Drosophila melanogaster: one gene and its partners. Changing the gene in region 1 together with any one later gene gives a genetic interaction. Each region holds a gene or a part of one and is shown in the gene's direction. Other genes may lie near its edges.

Region 1 (4,603 bases):
GAAGGTAGAAAATGAGTATTAAAACCCATGGGGGTTTTATTACAATTACAATTCTGTGACATGCCAAACGAATCCCTCGAACTGGAAACTCTCTGTTCCAACCAGAATTCTTTATTTTTGGTTTTCTTTTCCTGTTTTGGGGTTAAATCTAAATACATACAAATGGCATTATCAAAGTTTAAATAAAATACTACATTTTATAATACATAACTTAAAGGGGATATATTATATTTGATTGGCAATTATAGAAGTTCCTTGTTCTCCTAATATTACAAGTTTATCTGGTTCTTTGTGCAACAAACTCACCTTGTGGCAAAACGCGGCTGCCTCCTTGGCCACGCCTACTCCGTCCGCTGAGTGGGCGTGCGTTGATGGCGAGGTCGCGTAGACGAAGAGCGGTAGCGAGCTAAAGTTCCGTTTGTCCTGAAAGCGGCGGCTGAAGAATAACGGCTTGTGGCATCCCGCTGCAGCGGCTAGTATGTTTGTTGTTGTTGCCGTTTTCGTAACACTAGGTGTGGAAGCTACTGCTGCTGCTTCTTCTTGTCTGCGCGTATTTACTGTTGTTGTTGTTGTTGTTATGGGTGCTGCAGTTGTTGTGTTTGCTGTTGTTGCATTTGCTGGGGTCGCCATTGGCGTATCGCAATTTTCTCGTATTATCGCCGCTTCTTCCTCTTCGCTGCAAGTTGTTGTTGTCTGTGTTTGCGTTTTTGTTGTTGGCATGACTACAACTACAGCTACTATAAATCGAATATAAATATATCGACGGAGGCGTGGGCGGTGGCGGAGCTGTGGGCGTGTCCCTGCAGCTGCTGGCGTCCCTTATTGTTGTTTCTGTTGTTCTTGTTGTTATTACTTAGGACCTTGGCATTATCCTCCTCCATCTTTTTTGCTGTTCAAGAAGTCAGCGAAGTTCAGCGCTTGCCAAAACTGAATGATTAGCACTTGCACATCGTCGCGTTTATCTTGGCTTTCTTCATTATTTCTTGTTTTTCAAGTGCAAAAATATTGTACAAATTCTTGGGCCATACAAAAGTGTGAGTTCTGTGTAAAAATTCACAAAAAAATACGCACGAAGCCGATTGCGGGGGTGGGAGAGAGATGGCGATACACGAACGAGTTCAAAGGGCCGCCAAACTAGGAAAAACACGCCAACAAATCAAACAAAACACTTGCACAACCGCAATTCGATCAATGTCGAAGCAAAACAGCCACTAATATTAAGTATATTACTTAATTAACAAACACTTTTGTTTGAAATATTTTGCAGACAGTTAAAGTTAGAGCTGGAACCAAAATCGATGTTTATGCGATACTATCGATGTATAGGGTAAGAGGGCTGCATTGATTAAATTCAGCTACCGTCGATTGTTTTAACTGTTCATACTATTATAACGGCAGTTTCAGACAGCGGAAGCGCCATTTGGAGTAGTGAGAAAATAAAAAGTTAAATTAAATGAACCAGTTTATTTTGTTAAAAATATTTTCATCCTTATGATAATAAAATCTAAATACTAAAAATCTACTAACGCCTGTTATTCCCAAAAACTATCGATAGCACAACGGAAAATATCGACAAGTATCCTGAATTGGCACGTCGGCCTTGCCAGACCAGCGCTCTGGAGTGAATTTAAATTTTAAAATAACGCCCTGTCAATTCAGTTGTAGAACTCAGTAGCTAGTCGGAAAGTTTTCAAGAACTCGGATTACCAACATCTCAAAATTGCTCAGTAAAAACATTCCGGCAGCCTGCAACACGTTGGGTGTTAACAAATTTACATACAAGTTGCAAGCTTTTGGGCGCACGCACCATCGATAAGAAGGTAGTTCGAATAAAATATAACACCTCCTCGCTGCCGGTAAAACTATTTCTTCTGGCTGTTCCCGAACTAAAGTGAGTATGAAGAGTCTTGCATTGGCAATCAAATTGTAATTAACTGATTCATCCCTCACCTAAAAGGCGTTGCCACCCAATCGATCTGGCCACCCCTAGCGAAAAGGTCATATAGCTGGACTGCTCTGCTGGACTTCCGCTTCACAACACTACCACACGACACAGACACACCATTCCTCTCGCTCGGGCTTACACTTCGGTGTAACGATTGTGCTTCGTTGCGTTCTCAGCTCACTAACGGTCGTCTCTATCGCACAAACGGTCGAAAGGCCCCGCATTGATTGTGAAAAAATAATCGTCGCCGTAGTCTTCGTCGGGTCGCCGTTTTTACTTGCAGTGCGCTGGTGCTGCTTTATTTCGTGACAAGGGACACTCAACCGAAAGAGCCATATTTAAGCATCAAAGTTCTAGAGGCGCAACGCAGCTTTGTGTTTCGTTTTTCGTTCAATTCTAAGCAGGAGGATTATATATTGAATAAAACCCAATTCTGTGCGAAGAACAAAAGAAATACGCGAGACACCAACACCAGCACACAACCAACCAAACACACACACAACCAACCAAACACACACACAACCCAGAAAATCAAATTTCAATCAGAAAATGGCGTTAAAAAGAATCAATAAGGTATGTGAAAAAAGGAATATCTCAAAAAACTTTGCGAAACGGACTAAAAAAAGAAAGAACAGAACCCTTTGCGATACACCAAAATGATAGTCTAAAAAAAAAGCGAACAGACATCAGTTTTCAACGGGAGAAAAATTTTATGCAAGAAATGTGAAACGTAGGTAGTAACCGAGGAGAAGAAAGAAGAAGCGGGGGGAAAGAAGCGTGCAAGAGGGAAGGGAGAAAATGAGCTGTGGAGTTACCATTTAATTAATAAGTTAGTAATTAGGAGCAGATTAGAAATTTTGAGGGTGGTGAAAAAGGTATAAGGATGTGTGTGTGTGGTGGGCAAGGCAACGTGTAGTGCAGTCATCGCTTCCGTTACTTTTGCGAGAGTGTGGGATAAGTGTGTGTGCGATGCGTGTGCGTGAAAGTGCAATGCAAATGTGCATTGTTTGTGTGCGTGTGTGCCGGGCACCTGGATGCATTTACATTAATGCAACTATACGGCGGAGTTTTCGCAGCTCTACGGGCGCTGTTACCCAATACACGCTGTACACGGCACTCGCACACACTCTCAGCCTCGCAACAGTCACACATAAACGCACACACTGCCAGCGCCGCAGAAAGATCCAGCAAAAAATAAAACAGAGCAAAAGCAAGAAGCGTATAAAATTAACCTAACCCTACTTTTTGCGCTGATAATTCAGAAATAGTGCTGCCCCCAAGCATATATATTTATATATGTATTTAGGTAGAGTGGTTCTAGCGTGCGTGCTTCGATAATTATTTTTAAAGTGCCTGCGCGTCGTTTGTCCTTGTCCAGTAAATGCTTTTTTACACCCCAATGTTCAAGGCCCTGACAACCCGATATTTTTTCAAAGTCATCCCAGCCTTCCTCAAAAGCATTAGTAATATCTCGAAGTTGTGGAAATGTTACTTGGCAAATTGGGATCTTTTTTTACGTTTGAAGCCGGTTATCATAGTCATACCCCACACACACACACATTAAAACGCTCGCAAATACAAAGTCTCGCCATCACTTGGCTATGGCCATTGCATGCCATCTCGCTCTGGCCCTGGCGCATTCCCTTTGCCCGCGACAGCTGAGGCCTCATTCGGTCCCGCTCGCGCAATGGGGCAGAGCCAAAGAGAGCGCAAGTGTGTGAGTGCTAGCGGGGCTTAGTGTTGCAAAACACCGTCAGCCAAAAGGGGGCCCCCAAATAATTAGTTATAAATTATAATTAAGCATAATTTACATACAAAATGAGCAGCGAATGCGGAATTTGTTCATATCTATGCGTATGTGTGAGCGTGGTGTGTATTTGTGTTTGAATGTGTGGGGCGGGGGTCTGCTGACTGTCTCGACAAAAGCAGCGCTGCCTGCGTCGGCGTCATGGCCATTGAGTTTTCCTCGTTTTTCGTAGTTTTCTATCCATTATAACATTTTAATGCCTGCCTAAATGAAAACGAAATGGCAAGCGGCAAACCGGAAATAAAAGTATACATTGTAGTAAACTCTTAAAATCACTCACGCCCCCTTTTTGTGGTCAATTCTTCAAAAGCCTTTTTTCTCTAGATGGCCTCATTTGCCAAAAAAGAGAGTTAAAGAGCGAGAGAGAACGGCTTAAACGCCGATCGGAGCTCACTTGAACCGTACACTGAACGAAATGGGCTTTAGAACCAATGCATATGGCATTTAGTCTTACTGAACCAATTCTTAAAGTTCACAATATTAATTATTCGAATAAGAATTAAATAGAAGTTTGTATTGGTAGTGCACCTGGTCTAATATTGATAATATTATCGAATTTTCTTGCTGTGCACAAGTGTGCGTGTTTGTTTTTACTTCATTTGTTCGTCTGATATGAGTCATAACCGCTCCGACTCCCAACGAAAAAAGAAATGTAACAATTTCTTGTAATTTATTTTTGCTCAACAGGTACAATTCCCAAAATGAGTAAGTGAGATGGGGCAAAGAAACACGGTGTTTTTCGCGACGGCTATTTTTGTTGTGCTCCACTCTGATTTTGTGGTGCCGTTACAAACACACGCATACACTGAAGCTCAGTCTTCTCACTCTCCTTCATTCTTCCTCCTCCTGCT
Region 2 (4,863 bases), on another chromosome or scaffold:
CGCTTCGGTGGCGGAGGCCAAGAAGGCCACCGATCCACATGCCACCGTCATCTATGTGCCACCACCGGGCGCTGCGGCCGCCATCATCGAGGCTCTGGAAGCGGAGATCCCCCTGATCGTTTGCATTACGGAGGGTGTGCCGCAGCACGACATGGTGAAGGTGAAGCACGCCCTCATCAGCCAGAGCAAGTCGCGATTGGTGGGTCCCAACTGCCCGGGAATCATCGCCCCCGAACAGGTTCGTACATCTCCAGCGCTTGAGAGATAAGCTTGGCCAGAGGGCAAAGTCCACGTTCATCTGGTGGTTTTCTTATCTCTTGGTATGACGCTCGCTTTGAACTACATATATCTGTTTACTATTCCGTTTTCAATTTGCTTATTGTTAATGTATAAACAGGCCTCCATTGACACACCCTTAAATTTGGGCATTGAACTTTGCACCTGAAGTTGGTGGAATTTGCGGACGATACGTTTTTTATTACCATTTATAACGCTTATCTTTCTATGCGTCACAAAACTTAGTGATTACCCACTTCACTCCACTTTCAGTTAAGTCAATTGTATAATCTTAAACTATGTTTTTTCTGATTGCAGTGCAAGATCGGCATCATGCCGGGTCACATTCACAAGCGCGGCAAGATCGGCGTGGTCTCGCGCTCGGGAACCTTGACCTACGAGGCCGTGCACCAGACCACGGAGGTGGGTCTGGGCCAGACCCTGTGCGTGGGCATTGGAGGCGATCCGTTCAACGGAACCGACTTCATCGACTGCCTGGAGGTCTTCCTCAAGGATCCCGAGACCAAGGGCATCATCCTGATCGGCGAGATCGGAGGCGTTGCCGAGGAGAAGGCTGCCGACTACCTGACCGAGTACAATTCGGTATGAGAAGCCATCACGGATCAATGTATTTCATTGCTAAATGTTTTTGTATCCTATTGCAGGGCATCAAGGCCAAGCCTGTCGTCTCGTTCATTGCCGGAGTGTCGGCGCCACCCGGCCGTCGCATGGGTCACGCTGGAGCCATCATTTCCGGAGGAAAGGGAGGTGCCAACGACAAGATCGCCGCCCTGGAGAAGGCCGGCGTCATTGTGACCAGGAGTCCTGCCAAAATGGGCCACGAGCTCTTCAAGGAGATGAAGCGTCTGGAGTTAGTGTAAATAATTAAAGGCCATAACCAAACCGGAATCCGTACGCCGATCAAAGCGTATACGCAAACTCATGATGATGAACCTAACGTTAAGCTAAAAGTGTCGAAAATCGAAATTGCATTCGAGCGAACCCAAATAAATTATTGTGAAAAATTACTAGAGAGAAACGAGAGGCGTTGAATTGTGACATGTATTCCAAGAATTAAGTTAACTACTGCCGTACCACCAAGTTGAACTAAAATAACTCGCACCAAAACCAAGATTTCTAATTGTTATTGCACTCGGCTCATTGTTTGTGTTGCGAACAGATTTTTGCCTTAATTTTAAATGCCTGCTCGAATTATCAATGCGAATTGTATCTGAATGTGTAATAAATATGCATAAAAACAGGATAGATGTGGTGAATTTTCGTGGTTTTAGCTATACAAGCCATATCCTTTGAAAATATGAATTTTCAGGTCAATTTATTTAATCTAAACTAAAATTCTTTGGAGAAGAATTAACAAAACAATAATTTATGAAAAGCAATGCTTACCATATTAAAAAAAGATTTAAGGAAATTTAAAAAAATGTAGTTTTCTACTTTCGATATTTAATGGGATCGACTTGCAAACATCAAGAGCACACATCGATAGAGCGGAAGTTTCGATTAACTCGTGAAATATCTGGCAACATTAATATCGAACTGCCATCGCTTTTTGTGCCAGCTCTAATAAACATATATATGTTTTAGGGCCGCGATTGAAAATGCGTGCCACAAAGGCCTAAACAAACTTGGAAAACACCGCGAAAAACGTCAGAAGCTATAGTGCCGATTCGCATATTGTTCGCCACCCCGGAAAAGTGTGAAAATCGCAGATAATCAAAAGGGAGAGCAACCAAAGGAAAAGCAACAACAACGACTCGCCATGGGCAGCAGAACTGAAAATGGTGAGTTTCTAAGAAAATGTCCCTAAATTTCGTTAGCACTGTCCCTTTTCTCGCAAAGCGTGTTGGAAATGATGTGAACATAATAATATTAGTGCGCTTATTATTACTATTGCAACATTTTCGGTTTTTGCAGCCGCCGGTTGCGGTTGCATTTTAAAGTGCACTACATACGCACACACACACATGTGCACATACAAATTTATCACCTCGCATGTATGTATGTATGTGACGGAGTAGTGCATGCCTTTTAGTAGGGCTGCCGGGAAGGCCCCGTTATCTGATTCCGGGTATGTCTAATTGGAGTTGTTAGTTGGAATTTTCGTTCGCCGAGGAACTTTATTGAAAAAAAGTTGTAGCATGGCTAATACCAGGAGTTCATGGCCTTGACGCTCGCAATACATAGTGCTGCATTGAAAATAATAAATTATGGGATTGTTGGTAGCAGATTGGTAGCTTAATTGCTCACATAATTCTTCGATTTAATATTATGCCAATGCTTCCGTACTTTTAATATAATATATATTCAATATCCTACTTTAAAAAAATATTATTATGAAACGAGAAATATAGCTAGAAGTATTATTCTTTATTATTCTTTAGTTTTAAGTTTTTAAAATGTTGATCCGAAATATCAGGTTGAGTTAAAAGTAATGTAAATGTAAAATATATTTTACAAACAGCACGTCATTATTACTTCGGATATGAAAAACCACTTAAGGATGCGTCCTATCTATATATTATGTAGATTTTTGTGTATAAGCTTTAGGATAAATAGTTTTGAAAACTGTTGCTGCTGCTGCAGATCGATTACAAAACGCCGAAAAATGTGCGTTCCAGTTCGCTAGGAACCCTCAACTTCTGGTGACATATCGCATTCTTGCAAACATTTTTGTAAGTTTTCTTCCTCTTCGCGTTTGCTCGATTTATAGAGAATGCTTTTGTTTGTGTTTAAAATAGATTCGAAATGGCTCTTTGGCCTGCGTCCGCCATTGTCGGCGTTTTCGAGTGGGTTTTATTGAAAATCTATTTTGCGAATTATCCGACCAGCCCGGCTATATCCCCCCTCCCTCCACTTCCCTGGGCCTTTCTCACATTTGTCTCCAATTCTCTTACATCGCTGGCGTCGCAATAATGTCGTCAGTTTTTTGTTTATTCGCTCTCCCAAACACCGAAACACGCAAAAAATAGTTCTTATTTTTGTTAAATCCACACAAATTTTCTTGAGTGAAAGTGAAGATTTTATCTTATTAGTGATTGTAGCTTCTATCAAAAAGTGTGAGTTTAGGAAAGTTTGGGTTTTGAATATCTGGACTCATTGGTCTTTCAATGCAAGTGTCCACTGTACTTTATAATACAATTTATACTAAAAACGTCGCTGTTTTGTTTTCGTCTGTTTATTGTTTTATTTGGATACTCGCATCTAATGATTCCACCGATGATGACCGATTTTCGGTCGATGATGCCGTGATGAGGATGATGTATCTTTGCTGATGCTCTAAACGAAATGTCGTCGTTGTCACACAATGTTGTAGTTGTTTCCTTAGTGGCTGCTGCTACTTAGTTAGTCGATTGTGATGCGCTCGGATTCGCTTCGGCCTTCCGTTTCGCACTCATTACACAAACAAAAAAAGATTGAACACAAGTCTTACTGCAAAAACTCGCGAAACCGAAGCATTTTTCATGCGAGAATGTCGAGAATTTGTGTAAATTAATTTATTGCCTTCGCTCATGCCACTTTCTATATCGGATGGCATTTTATTTGCATTTTTTGAAACACATTCTGGCAGGCGTACATCTTTTGATTTCGCATTTCGATATTTCAGCAGGCAAACTCCTGTTAGTAGAATTTTTATTGAGTTAAAAAAAATGTAACTTGTAATTTAAAGCAAAATTTTTATAGTCCACATAATTGAATATTGAAAAACATTGGTTGTTTTCTACCTTTCCAAAGAGCTCATCTGATGCCTTGAATAAATCAGGAAAAATAAATATACTCGTGCCCACAAGCGTTTTATGTTTTGAAGGTAAAATTAAAAAAATTATTTTTTTTATATATATACACTGGGAATAATTAATATTTGGCTGATTACTTGTCAACGAAGATGCGCTGTACTTTATTTAGTCTGCTGCTTATGAATAATCGCCTGTGATAAGAGCAGACACATCACATCGGTTACGCCAGTTTTGTTTTTGATTTTGATTTGGCTCAAAGAGCCCCATCAGTTCCACACACCTGCCCCACCGCTGTCCTCTGTAGATTCCGCAGACAAAGTTGCGATGCCAAGCAAATTCTATTCCCGTAGAAGCGAAGGAGGTGACTGGGTGGTGGCTTTAGGTCCGTGCAGATGCTTTTTGCATATTTCATAATTCCCGCAGATGGCCTGAGCGCGGGGAAAGCCGAAGACAACAATCAAATGGCCCCAAATGTCGGCTCCCAGGTGCCCCTTTTCGTATGCAACGGGCATGTCTCATATGCCAAATGAATGAATGATTGAGGAGACTGAAAGTCTAGCTCTCTTCTCCTACTCCTATTAATATTTTCCCTTAAGCTATGAGCACCATTTAGCCGTTTACAGGACATCTGCTAGTCAGGATTCTCTGTTCGCCAGCTGTGCTTAGCTCGGCTTTTTCTGCGCTCTGCCGCAGAACTCAATGGCTGCTTAACGTGGCCTTAAAAGTTTTGGCCGTCTGTCACGAAAAAACCAAAGCAGAAACGATAGCTGACAAAAGTTTAAAGATTTTAAGATATTTAGCTGCTTGATAGTAGACATTTAGATGTGTAAAA
Region 3 (4,968 bases), about 17 Mb from region 1:
GTGTATAATTAATGTGAAATATAATTAAAACGAAAAGAACGAAGAATGAATTAAGCTTGTGCGACGAAAACACTAAATAGACCTGCTCCTAAATTTGTTTCTCAACGGCTTTTAGAGCCGCAATTATACTCGGAACAGGTCTGAGTCTGAGCTACATACTAAATGTAAATAAATTAATTGACGCGTACACTACACATAGATAACAACAGTCGATCGACGAGTTCCCCGGGCGTGAAAAATTTGCATCTGGACGTCGCCGCATCAAATTCTCGACTCCAGCTCCCGGAACTCGGCAGGATCCGTGAAACGTACGGTCAAAATATAGAACAGTGTGGGGAAGGGCACCAAGCACATAAAGGCATAGTGGTAATTCAGGGAGGTGAGGCCGTAGGCCAACAACATCCAGTGCACAGCTGGGAAAGTAAGCTGCTGGTATACTTTATGTATGGTGAATGCGCACTTTGCTTACCTATGATGACCACGTTTTTTAACTCCCACACCGACGAGTGAACCAATGCCTTTAGGGTTTGATCCAGTTTGAGGGAATAGTGGATGGCATTGGCTACCATGGATATGGCCACGCTAAGGTACGGAAAGGAGTAATCTGAAAAAGAAAAGATCTCAAGACCAAAATATTAGCAAGCACTTAAGTACTCACAGATCAACCCACATCCTAACGCATGGATAAAGGTGAGCAGGGGCAGGAAGTAAAGAGCCGAGTAAATCGGCGCCTTGCTTCTGCCCCCCACATCCATAATTTTGCTGACTAGCGGGCGTATGAGAAACATGTTCACCAGGCACAGAAAGTAGAAAACCAGCACGATGGTTTGCCTGGAAATTGAACATTAAAGTGACTATTGTGAACACCTGGAGCCTTGGGTGGCTGGGTCTTACAATGGGTAAACTGCCTCCTGGGTGCAGTAGACTCGTGCCTCATAATTGGGGCTGGGGTTGTAAAACAATGTGTACCAGTCAGTAAGTTTTCGAACATCACAGGCGTAGAGGCGCAGCTCCCACATGGGCTCCATTAGCAAGGTGGCGAGGATGGCAGATATGGCAACCTCAACGAAAGCGCTGGCCGTCAAGATCAGCTGCTTCCGCGAAAACCTATGTGAATTCACTAAGTAAGTTCTTCTTCCAGTTTGATTAGTTCACTCACTTGCGATCCTTGGCGTCCATGTCAATGAAAAAGCAGTGCATCATAAGTGGCAGCATGGTCATGAATCCCAGGTATAGCCAGGAGTACGTGCTTAACTCGTCGCGGCATGGAGAGCATGCGTAACTTTGGTTCACCTGAACAATATAAAAGTAAATTATTTTCCAGGCGCCGTTCCGAAGGATGCTAGAACATTAACCCGAGATCCTCTGGGACAGACCCCGCAGCTGCTCCAGCTGTTGTTTCCTAGCGGTGATCGCCCACAGTAGGCTCCTGGGCAGCGTTCCAACGCGTCGTACATTCTCATGAAATCAAAACAATTACTTCGTATTGTATATTACATTAAACAAAATAAAAACAATACTCCTATCGATATCGGACTTATCGTTATCAGTAGGACCACTGAATAAACGAATAGGTTGTTCGTGCACTTAAATTAATACTAATTTATAAAATGATAATACATCAGAAGCACATGCGAAATGTATTAAAAATAAGGAAATTATTTTCTACAGATTATATAATGGGCCCTAAGACTGCTTTCTAATTTGATCAAATTAATAATACTATATGTTTTTATATATTTATTTACAATTAAACATGACTAGTAGAGTGTACATTCTTACAGTGCATTTCAATGATTTGATTTTATTTGAAATCCCAATTGCCAGAAATTTAAATTTAGGGTCCCTTATATGTACCACATAAACCAGTTCGATAGGCGCGCTTTTGGCATGGCCTGATAACTCTGGTAAAAAGCACCGCGCGAACCGGTTCAATTCATAACTAGTTCGCCCGAACTGCACAACCCTAGCAAAAGAAATAGCTTAAATATAATTTATTTAACGCGAATTGGACAACGAGCGGGTAGAAAAAACCCTGTGGCCGCAACCGCGACGCTCGCAGGATACGCAGCTCTTCGCCGTCGGGCAGGCAGGTAAAAAGCAATGGCAATTGGAGTTGACCGCAGAACAACAGCAACGGCAGACGCCATTTTGTCTATTGGCCGGCTGATTTGTAAGCTCAATATTCGCGAAATAGTTACCGCGACTAGCTTCGAGTGGCGCAGCCAAGTAAGGGCTCCCCGCTGTCCAGAGCAAAGGCGAAAGGAAGAGCAATCGCCCATTTTGAGGCCTGCGAAAAGTTGGGACTCGGTCGTCAGTTCGCTCGATTCCATTTGCGAAAAATAAATGTACGTGCGCGTGAGGAAGTGTGTGTGCGCGTGAAAAAACAGTGAAAAATAATAAAAAGCCGCACTGGCCGCCGTCCTTGGGTGACTTCCGTTAATCTCTTACAACTTTTAAAGCTATAGAAAGAATGTGAGCAATTTACCGCCCTCGACACACCCAATGAACCGCTAATTTTGGCATCTTTCTATAACTTTATGCGTAGTTATTTTCACCACCCTTCGCCTACACCCTTTCCCCGCCCCTTTTTCCACCAGTGGCTCCCACCCACCGACCGACATTCCGCTTAAGGATGATGCCGGGCGGAGAGAGATAGAGAGTGAGTGCAAAATCCGTAAACTTGGACGTGATGTAATTTTCGGCAGGAAAATGTTCTTTGTTTGCCCAAAAAAATAACAATAAATAAATAAGAATGAAGAGCGAGGCGTAAAACAAAAACAATTTTAAATTAAACTCAAACGCACACACAAAAAGAGAGGGTTCTGTGGGTGAGCGTGCGTGCGTGTGAGTGGGTGAGAGCGTAATTTGTGTGCTTTTGGAGCATTATTTGGCGCTTGCTGCCCCGTCTATTAAATAATATTGATTTTTCATATTCCAACCCAGCGCTCTCTTACACACACGCAGGACCACTCACACACCCAAAACTGAGCTTCGTACACATGTGGGCCTTTTCGGTCTCTCTCTTAGCGCTGTATTTATCCGCCTCTTATTGCCTCTTTCGCTTCGTTGCACTTTATAGATTTTTGCAAACTGGCCGCTGACCAGGCATTGGGAAAAAGGACAATAAGAGGGAGCCCAGAGCAAGAAGTCCAACTAACCGACCAACTGTGCCTCAAGAAACAGCAAATCAGCGGGGAACTCCCAAACTGGACAAGCAGAAGCCCGGATACCTCACATTTGCCATAAGACACCAGTCAAAAAACGACGCGCACTGCAGAACGCATTAGGATTAGCCCGGCACTAGAGCTCGTGCATTAACATCCGCTTCCGGTGCTCCGCAGAACGAGTTGGCTGGAGAGGATACCCCGCCACCATGACGTTCGACACTCGTAGGCACACCACCGGACAGCCGGGAAGCACAGCGCCCAGCTCAAGCAGCAGCACCACCAGCACAACAACCACCACAACGAGTCCGGCGCAGAGTGCCGGATCAGGATCGGGCATAGGAACAGGCACAGGAACAGTCGCCAACTCGAGTCTGCCAGGAGGAGGATCAGGTAGCTTGGACGGCAACCAGGATCAACAGCCGGCCACAGACAGTCAGAGCTCTGATGACGTGGCCGCTTCCTTGTCAGCGAACAGCGTGGACAGCACCATCACAATAGTGTAAGTGGTCGTGCTGCCGTATTTGCATGACTCCGCCCAATTAGTCGGGTTTTGTGCGTAGCACCAGTATGACCGCCACCCCTAAAGATCCCCAACATTCGTGTGTTTACTTTTGCGTAGTAATTCTTCCACATGCATTCTTTGTTTGTCTATGGTTGGGCCAGCACAATGTTCGTAATTCATTTAACTATGTTTCAGATGATTTTGGCCAGGCCACTGGTTAGTGACCATAAATGTGGCAATAAATGTTATCTTTCTTTTTCTTCGATAGGTGCACTTGGCTGCTGTCCAGTTTTAGCAATGAACTTACCAAGCTTTACTAATATTACCTTACCCGGCTATTACTATCTCATTTTGAATGCCCGTCCACGGCCTATCTTATCGCTTGTCCATCAAAATAAGCTAACACTGAAAATTACAAAAAAAAAAAAAAAAAAAATGTATGCGTTTTGGCATTTATTTTAATAGAAATAACCATTTAATAAACAGAAATGTTTATGGAAGGGTGTGCTTTGATTGACCCCCTAAGAACTTTTTTTTTTATGTGTATTATTTAATTTGTTATTTTTAATATTGAATAATTGTCCATTTAATTAAATAGGCCTCCAGAGAAGCTTATATCCTCGTTTCCCACGACGAAACTGAGATCACTAACGCAAAAGATATCCAATCCGCGTTGGGTGGTGCCGGTGCTGCCTGAACAGGAATTGGAGGTTCTCTTAAATGCAGCCATCGAACTGACCCAGGCTGGTAAGTGTGTCCAAACGATTTATTTGATACCCTCTAAAGTCAATTTATTTGCAGGTGTGGATCACGACTGCGAGCCATGTGTGGAGTTTTATCGCAATGGACTGAGCACTTCCTTTGCCAAGATCCTAACCGACGAGGCGGTGAATTCGTGGAAGAATAACATCCACCACTGTATCCTTGTGTCTTGCGGCAAGCTTCTACATCTAATCGCCATCCACATGCAGCGAGACAATCCCTATCTGCTTGACTTGCTGGCTATTGTTTTTGATCCGGAGAACAAGTTCAACACATTTAACGCAGGCCGTCAACCGGAGTGCTTCGCAGCGCCGGACTACATCTGGGGTCAGTTGGACAGCAACAAAATGTACGCCCGTCCGCCGCCGGAGCCCAAGAATGCGCGTGGCTGGCTTGTGGATCTTATTAACCGCTTCGGACAGTTGGGAGGCTTTGACAATCTACTGGAACGGTTTAACATCGGACTGGAACTGCTGAAGCGCAACCAAAACAAGTGCACTGGCAAGAATATTAGTGTCGAGGGTAGGGTTGAAA
Region 4 (4,937 bases), 6.9 Mb from region 1:
GTGGGAAGTTCCCGCTTGCGCTCTTCTATCTGGTAGGCGAAAAAAAAAAACCATCTTGCAGAAAATGGTTGAAAAAAAATCAAGCATAGAGATACTCTAATTGCATATGTGTTGGGCAAGGGATGGGAAGGGGGAAGGGGCAGGCGCAGGGGCCAAAGTTCTTCCTCTCTTTCTGCGTCCGTGAGGGGTGATTCTCGCCCCTCTTCTTCATATTCGTATTCTCATTCTTCTTCTTCTTCTTCTTGTCTGCCGGTCTGGCTTATGGGAAATGTGAAAAAAATCACACTCACGGATCTGTGAGTGTCCTCGCCTCAGCAACCCACCCAAGAGAAACCCAAAGGATAACAGCCTCGAATCCAAAAAAAAAAACTGCCTAAAAAGTTAATAGAAATCGAAAACTGGAAAGGAGATTACATTTCTGGTAGGAGGGGGGGGGGATGTTTCTCAGTTACTGGGCTTGGGATTATGGGAATGGGAAACACTGCGCAGATCGCCTGGCAAGTTGTACTGATTTGCGAGATACATTTGTGCACACAAAACCAGGAATGCAAATGGCAGCGGGCATGAGTTGTAAATATTTAATCAGATTGTTGTTAGAAAAAGTGACATGGTAGCGATTTTGGGATATTTATGAGTACAAACTTTGCATTATTCCAGAATGTATGAGTATTGTTTGTTTAGTAGAAAGTGCTTTTGCACTAAAGTAGATTAATAGTGGAATAACAAATAATATAAGAATGGAAAGTCAAATGTTTGAGCAGGTTTCTTTAATCAGGTCAGTTGCTCAGCAAATAGGTGAATTTTTACACTTCAGTTAGTATTTACTTAATTAAATACTAACTTTTCTCTATAAAGTTGCAAATCTTTAAGGTATATTATATGATTAAGCTGTGAGCTGTGAGATGAGCATACTTGGCTTTAATCTCAGGCATAATTTTTATGATACGTAGAAATTAATAGATTTGTGTGCGACAGTGTCGAGTTATGCGATAGACCCATTTAATGCCTATTTCCGGCCTTAAAAAGTGTACCCCTTGTTGATGGGGCGCTGAAAATCGGCAACGCTGCTGTGCTGCTGCAACTACAACAATGTCGTCACTGCAACGCAATGCAACACTTGGCACACAACTGATAAAGATAAAGAAGATGGTGAAGCGGTTGGTTGAGCGGGAGGGGAAAGGTTCTCTGCCGGCGTCGCTGTTGATGTGGGTGCGGTAACAGCGACGTCGCCACTTCCGTCTGAGCGATTTTTAGCCGATTTGTAGCCGGCAAGCCGAAGAGAGCGAAAAGGGTTGGGGGCCAAAAGCAAAAGCCGCTCTCACCGAACATTCGAGTCTGGCTTCCACATGCCACATGTGAAGAGTAGGAAGCGGCGCCACTCACATTCCACCCTCTTGCGCTTTCGCTTTCCGCCCCCTTCTCCACATTCGTTCTCTCTCGTGCTCAGCTGTTGCCGCTAATTCGCTGCAATTAGCGTGGTTCTCTTAGCTTCAAGCATTAGTTTTTATATCAACAGAATTTTAAAATTAAAAACTTCAAATAAAACTTGGACCAAAGATTTAATTAAAAGCTGATATTAGGTAAAATAATGTAGCATTTAAAAAACAATTCAGGAAGTGATTAACAGCGCTGTTATAGGTATTTAACTTCGCTTATAAATAATTATATTTTTCTTTTAACACTCAAATGTATTTATTCATTGCAAAATATTAATAACCCAAAATATTCGTTCCCTTTTGAATTGACAACCTATCGTAATATCGAATAGCTATCGTTTGATCAGTTTTGTCTCCACTCAATTTACGATCCACTCTCTTCTGCTCTCACTCTCTCGTGCCGCGAGCGCTCAGCTGCTGACGCCTCAAATTCGCCGCTACAAGAGACGCCGTGCGTTTTGTGGCTCGTTGCTTGTTCTGTCGATTCGCCGCGTTCAGTGTTGTTGTCGCGTCGTGACGCTGCTGTTGCCGCTGCCGCCCCCACACACATGTGCGAGCAGAAAACACGTTACGAGGGGAAAATCGACGGAAAAATCCGAAAAAAAATAGAAAAGCTAACTGAAAAGAGTACAAGACTGAGGTATTGATAAGTTAATGTGGTTTAATACACTAATTAAGCGTAAGTGGCCGGTATTAAAAGTGCCATTACGGTGGTGCTTACGTTTTCTCCGTCTGACGTAAGACGACTCCCTCTCTCGCTCTCTCTCTCTATCTCGTGTCTCTCCGATTCTCTTTCTCCGCGTGTGGATTGCGTTTTGCCGGCGACGGCGACTCCAAAAAAGACACGGCACAACACACTTTGTGGCCCAAGTTCAGTTCGCTTTTCGTCGCCAGTCCGCAAAAATGTGAAAATGGAAAACTGAGAGAAAAACCAAAAAGCCGCAAAAGACTGCCTCTGCAAGTAAAAGATTCAAGTCGCTGAGTAGCAATAGCAAATGCTCTAAAAAATCAAGAATAAAATAAAATAAAAGTGCGGGCGTGTAACAATTATGTGATATCTACAACAAATGCTCGAACTGCTGACGTCACGCACAGAATCGTAGAATATATAGAGAATAAAGAAGAGAAACGAAAACGTCGCGTAGTAAAGTTAAAAGTTCCCACACCACCGACGTACTCACACTCGCACACACACAGACTGAGTCAAACGAGTAAGAAGCAGCAGCACATTATACGTGGAATACAAAAAGTAACCGACAGAAAAGGCAAAACGCCCGCAAAAAAATGAAAAATTTGCAAATATGAAACGTGTGTGATATTCAAAAAGAGCAAGAAGAAGCAGGCGGCGGTGGAAAAAAAAGCAGAGCAATTTGTTGTGGTTGCGTGTGATATATAGAAAGCAAGTAAAACCAACAAAAATTCCATTTTTAGGTGCGTATTCAAACAAGACAAAAAAAAAGAAGCAAAGGGAGTTTCCACCTCACCTTTGATGATCAATTAATCATTCAATTTTGGGCTAAGCCCTCTAATAACCTCCAAAACCGATACGGTGAATAGCAGTCATTCGCTCACTCATTCAATCCCCCAACGCTCCAGTTTTCAGAGATAACGAATCGAAAATTCGGAGTCCATCAGTTTTTATTTCTATTTGCCCAAAGTCGGCGGCGATTTCTTTATGGCGCCCCCCAGATTAACATTTTACTAGATGTTAAGACAACAGTGCAGGTAACAGTTTGAAGAACTCGTGGTTTTTCTTCGAAGATATGGACAAAAATACATTTCAAGTTAAAATTAATTGTGTAAAACCGTCCAGCACAATATTAGCCAACTAACTGGCGTTTTTGTGTTGACGTGGATACTGAGGAATGCAAAATTAAAGCTGCACTGCAGTCATAAATATCAACTGAAATGTTCAATAGACATGTAATAATTAGGTAATGTGTTTGTTTTACAAATTAAAGTGATCTAAATGTTTTAAAATCTCAGATCATTTGTCTCTTTAATATTTTCTGTGGTCTTGAATTTGCCGGTTACTTCTACCAGTTTCGTCGGGTTAATTGGACTTGCATCAACAGTTTTCCGCTTTAATCTGTGCATGTACTTGACGACTGCACCACATAGTGTGTACATTATGTGTGGCCCCTGTTATCAGGCCTTGTGAGTACACAATATTCGATTGGCTCTAAATGCGTCATCGCGTAAATGGCCAGGCGAAATGAAGTTTTGTACATTATGTACAAAATTTTGGTGTATGAAACGCAAAGGGGACTTCCCTGGAATTCATTCTGCTTTCCTTGCCGGCATTGATATTCCACACCCACGCAATAATTTTTCCTTTCCCGGGCTTTCATTATGTTTGCAGTTTTCTGTGGGCGAAATATTTTGCGACGCATTTTGTGCGCCTCTCCCTGGACAAAAAGCCGCCTTCTCTTTTACTCGTTCTCTTTTTCTTGACTTGGCCAGTTGGCAATTATTTTTGGCTTTCTCAAACGAAAAAAGCTAAGGCGAGGCTTACAGCCGTTTTATTTTATATTACTATTACCTTATTTCATTTCTGTAAGTGTGCAATTAAGTGGCTGCCTTCTGTCTCGGTCCTTGCGGTTCATAAGAAAGAAGCCAAGTGTGTGTAATTGACCAAATGAAATAAAGATGATAGAGAAAATAAAACCGGCTAGAAAAAAGCATCCATGGGACCAACAACAACAAAAAGATGAAGAGAGATGTTCCATGTGGATTGTGTCTGTGAGTAACAGCTGTTATTCGGATTCAGGCCGGCTTTTACTCTCAGTCTCTTTTCCCTAGCAGCATCCCCCTCCAACACACACACACACCGTGGGAGACTCTCTCTTTCTCTCTCTGGACTGCCGCTTAATACACAAAATTCGTGTTCTTCCTCTTTTTCTGGCTTTTGATTCACTTTTTTCCCTCTATTGCAATTGTTGTTGCTTAACACCTTGCACACTCGCACATTATTTATTTGTATTTATTTCACTTGTCCCTGCCTTTTTACTGCGCATGCAAAATGATGTGCAAAAAGAAAGCGAAACTTTTTATTAGCTCTTGGTATCTGTGTGGGTGTTAGTGAGCATGCATGTACATACATATGTATGTTTTCGTGTGCTTGTGCTTATGCCTGTGTGTGCGTGAGTCTGCATACATAACAACGTATATAATTAATAGCCATGTAAATGCATGATCTTCATAATTAATAACGGTAAATTGGCATGCCAGAGGAATACAGTTATGGCTGCAAATTAAATACCAGCCATTAGTTGCATTCGAATTGGGATTTTAGCTAATATTTTATTAATTAGTGAATTGAGATTTCATGTCTGCAATTGGGCATATTTATTATTCGGGGGCAGACTAAATTTAAGTTATAAAGAGTAAAGATCCGTTAATTTAACAATCTTCACTACACCTTGCGGCCGGTTATTGTTGCTATACTAATTCGAAATTAACACGGAGAACGTGAGAGCAGAGTAGTGGCAGTGAAAAGGT

What was found.
Region 2: of eff (region 1) and enc, changing one enhances a phenotype caused by changing the other (phenotypic enhancement), as found in Drosophila melanogaster (one study listed by BioGRID).
Region 3: of eff (region 1) and faf, changing one suppresses a phenotype caused by changing the other (phenotypic suppression), as found in Drosophila melanogaster (2 studies listed by BioGRID).
Region 4: of eff (region 1) and E2f1, changing one suppresses a phenotype caused by changing the other (phenotypic suppression), as found in Drosophila melanogaster (one study listed by BioGRID).

The regions. Positions count from the first base shown.
Region 1 is NT_033777.3:14,738,295-14,742,897, reverse strand, and holds the start of eff (effete), read left to right. Parts: upstream 1-1,578; 5' UTR 1,579-1,891; intron 1,892-1,957; 5' UTR 1,958-2,494; coding exon 2,495-2,518; intron 2,519-4,603. Other genes in the region: jvl (javelin-like), read right to left, coding at 307-720. UniProt on the Drosophila melanogaster protein: Catalyzes the covalent attachment of ubiquitin to other proteins. Mediates the selective degradation of short-lived and abnormal proteins.
Region 2 is NT_037436.4:3,816,843-3,821,705, forward strand, and holds the start of enc (encore), read left to right. Parts: upstream 1-1,836; 5' UTR 1,837-2,075; coding exon of another isoform or gene 2,076-2,078; intron 2,079-4,863. Other genes in the region: Scsalpha1 (Succinyl-coenzyme A synthetase alpha subunit 1), read left to right, coding at 1-238, 595-879, 942-1,157. UniProt on the Drosophila melanogaster protein: Required for the regulation of germline mitosis, karyosome formation, and establishment of dorsoventral (DS) polarity of the egg and embryo. Involved in proper grk mRNA localization and translation in the oocyte.
Region 3 is NT_033777.3:31,775,090-31,780,057, forward strand, and holds the start of faf (fat facets), read left to right. Parts: upstream 1-1,930; 5' UTR 1,931-2,093; intron 2,094-2,153; exon of another isoform or gene 2,154-2,475; intron 2,476-2,548; exon of another isoform or gene 2,549-2,662; intron 2,663-3,082; 5' UTR 3,083-3,376; coding exon 3,377-3,669; intron 3,670-4,270; coding exon 4,271-4,419; intron 4,420-4,473; coding exon 4,474-4,968. Other genes in the region: CG2126 (uncharacterized protein), read right to left, coding at 262-413, 470-604, 659-831, 895-1,107, 1,160-1,293, 1,356-1,463. UniProt on the Drosophila melanogaster protein: Ubiquitin C-terminal hydrolase involved in development and the imd/NF-kappa-B (IMD) signaling cascade. Required for eye and embryo development, and plays a role in compound eye assembly and oogenesis respectively.
Region 4 is NT_033777.3:21,630,063-21,634,999, reverse strand, and holds the start of E2f1 (E2F transcription factor 1), read left to right. Parts: upstream 1-1,926; 5' UTR 1,927-2,076; exon of another isoform or gene 2,077-2,867; intron 2,868-4,937. UniProt on the Drosophila melanogaster protein: Transcriptional activator that binds to E2f sites. Required for wild-type growth in mitotic and polytene tissues, Contributes to the expression of replication genes at the G1-S transition and Cyclin E.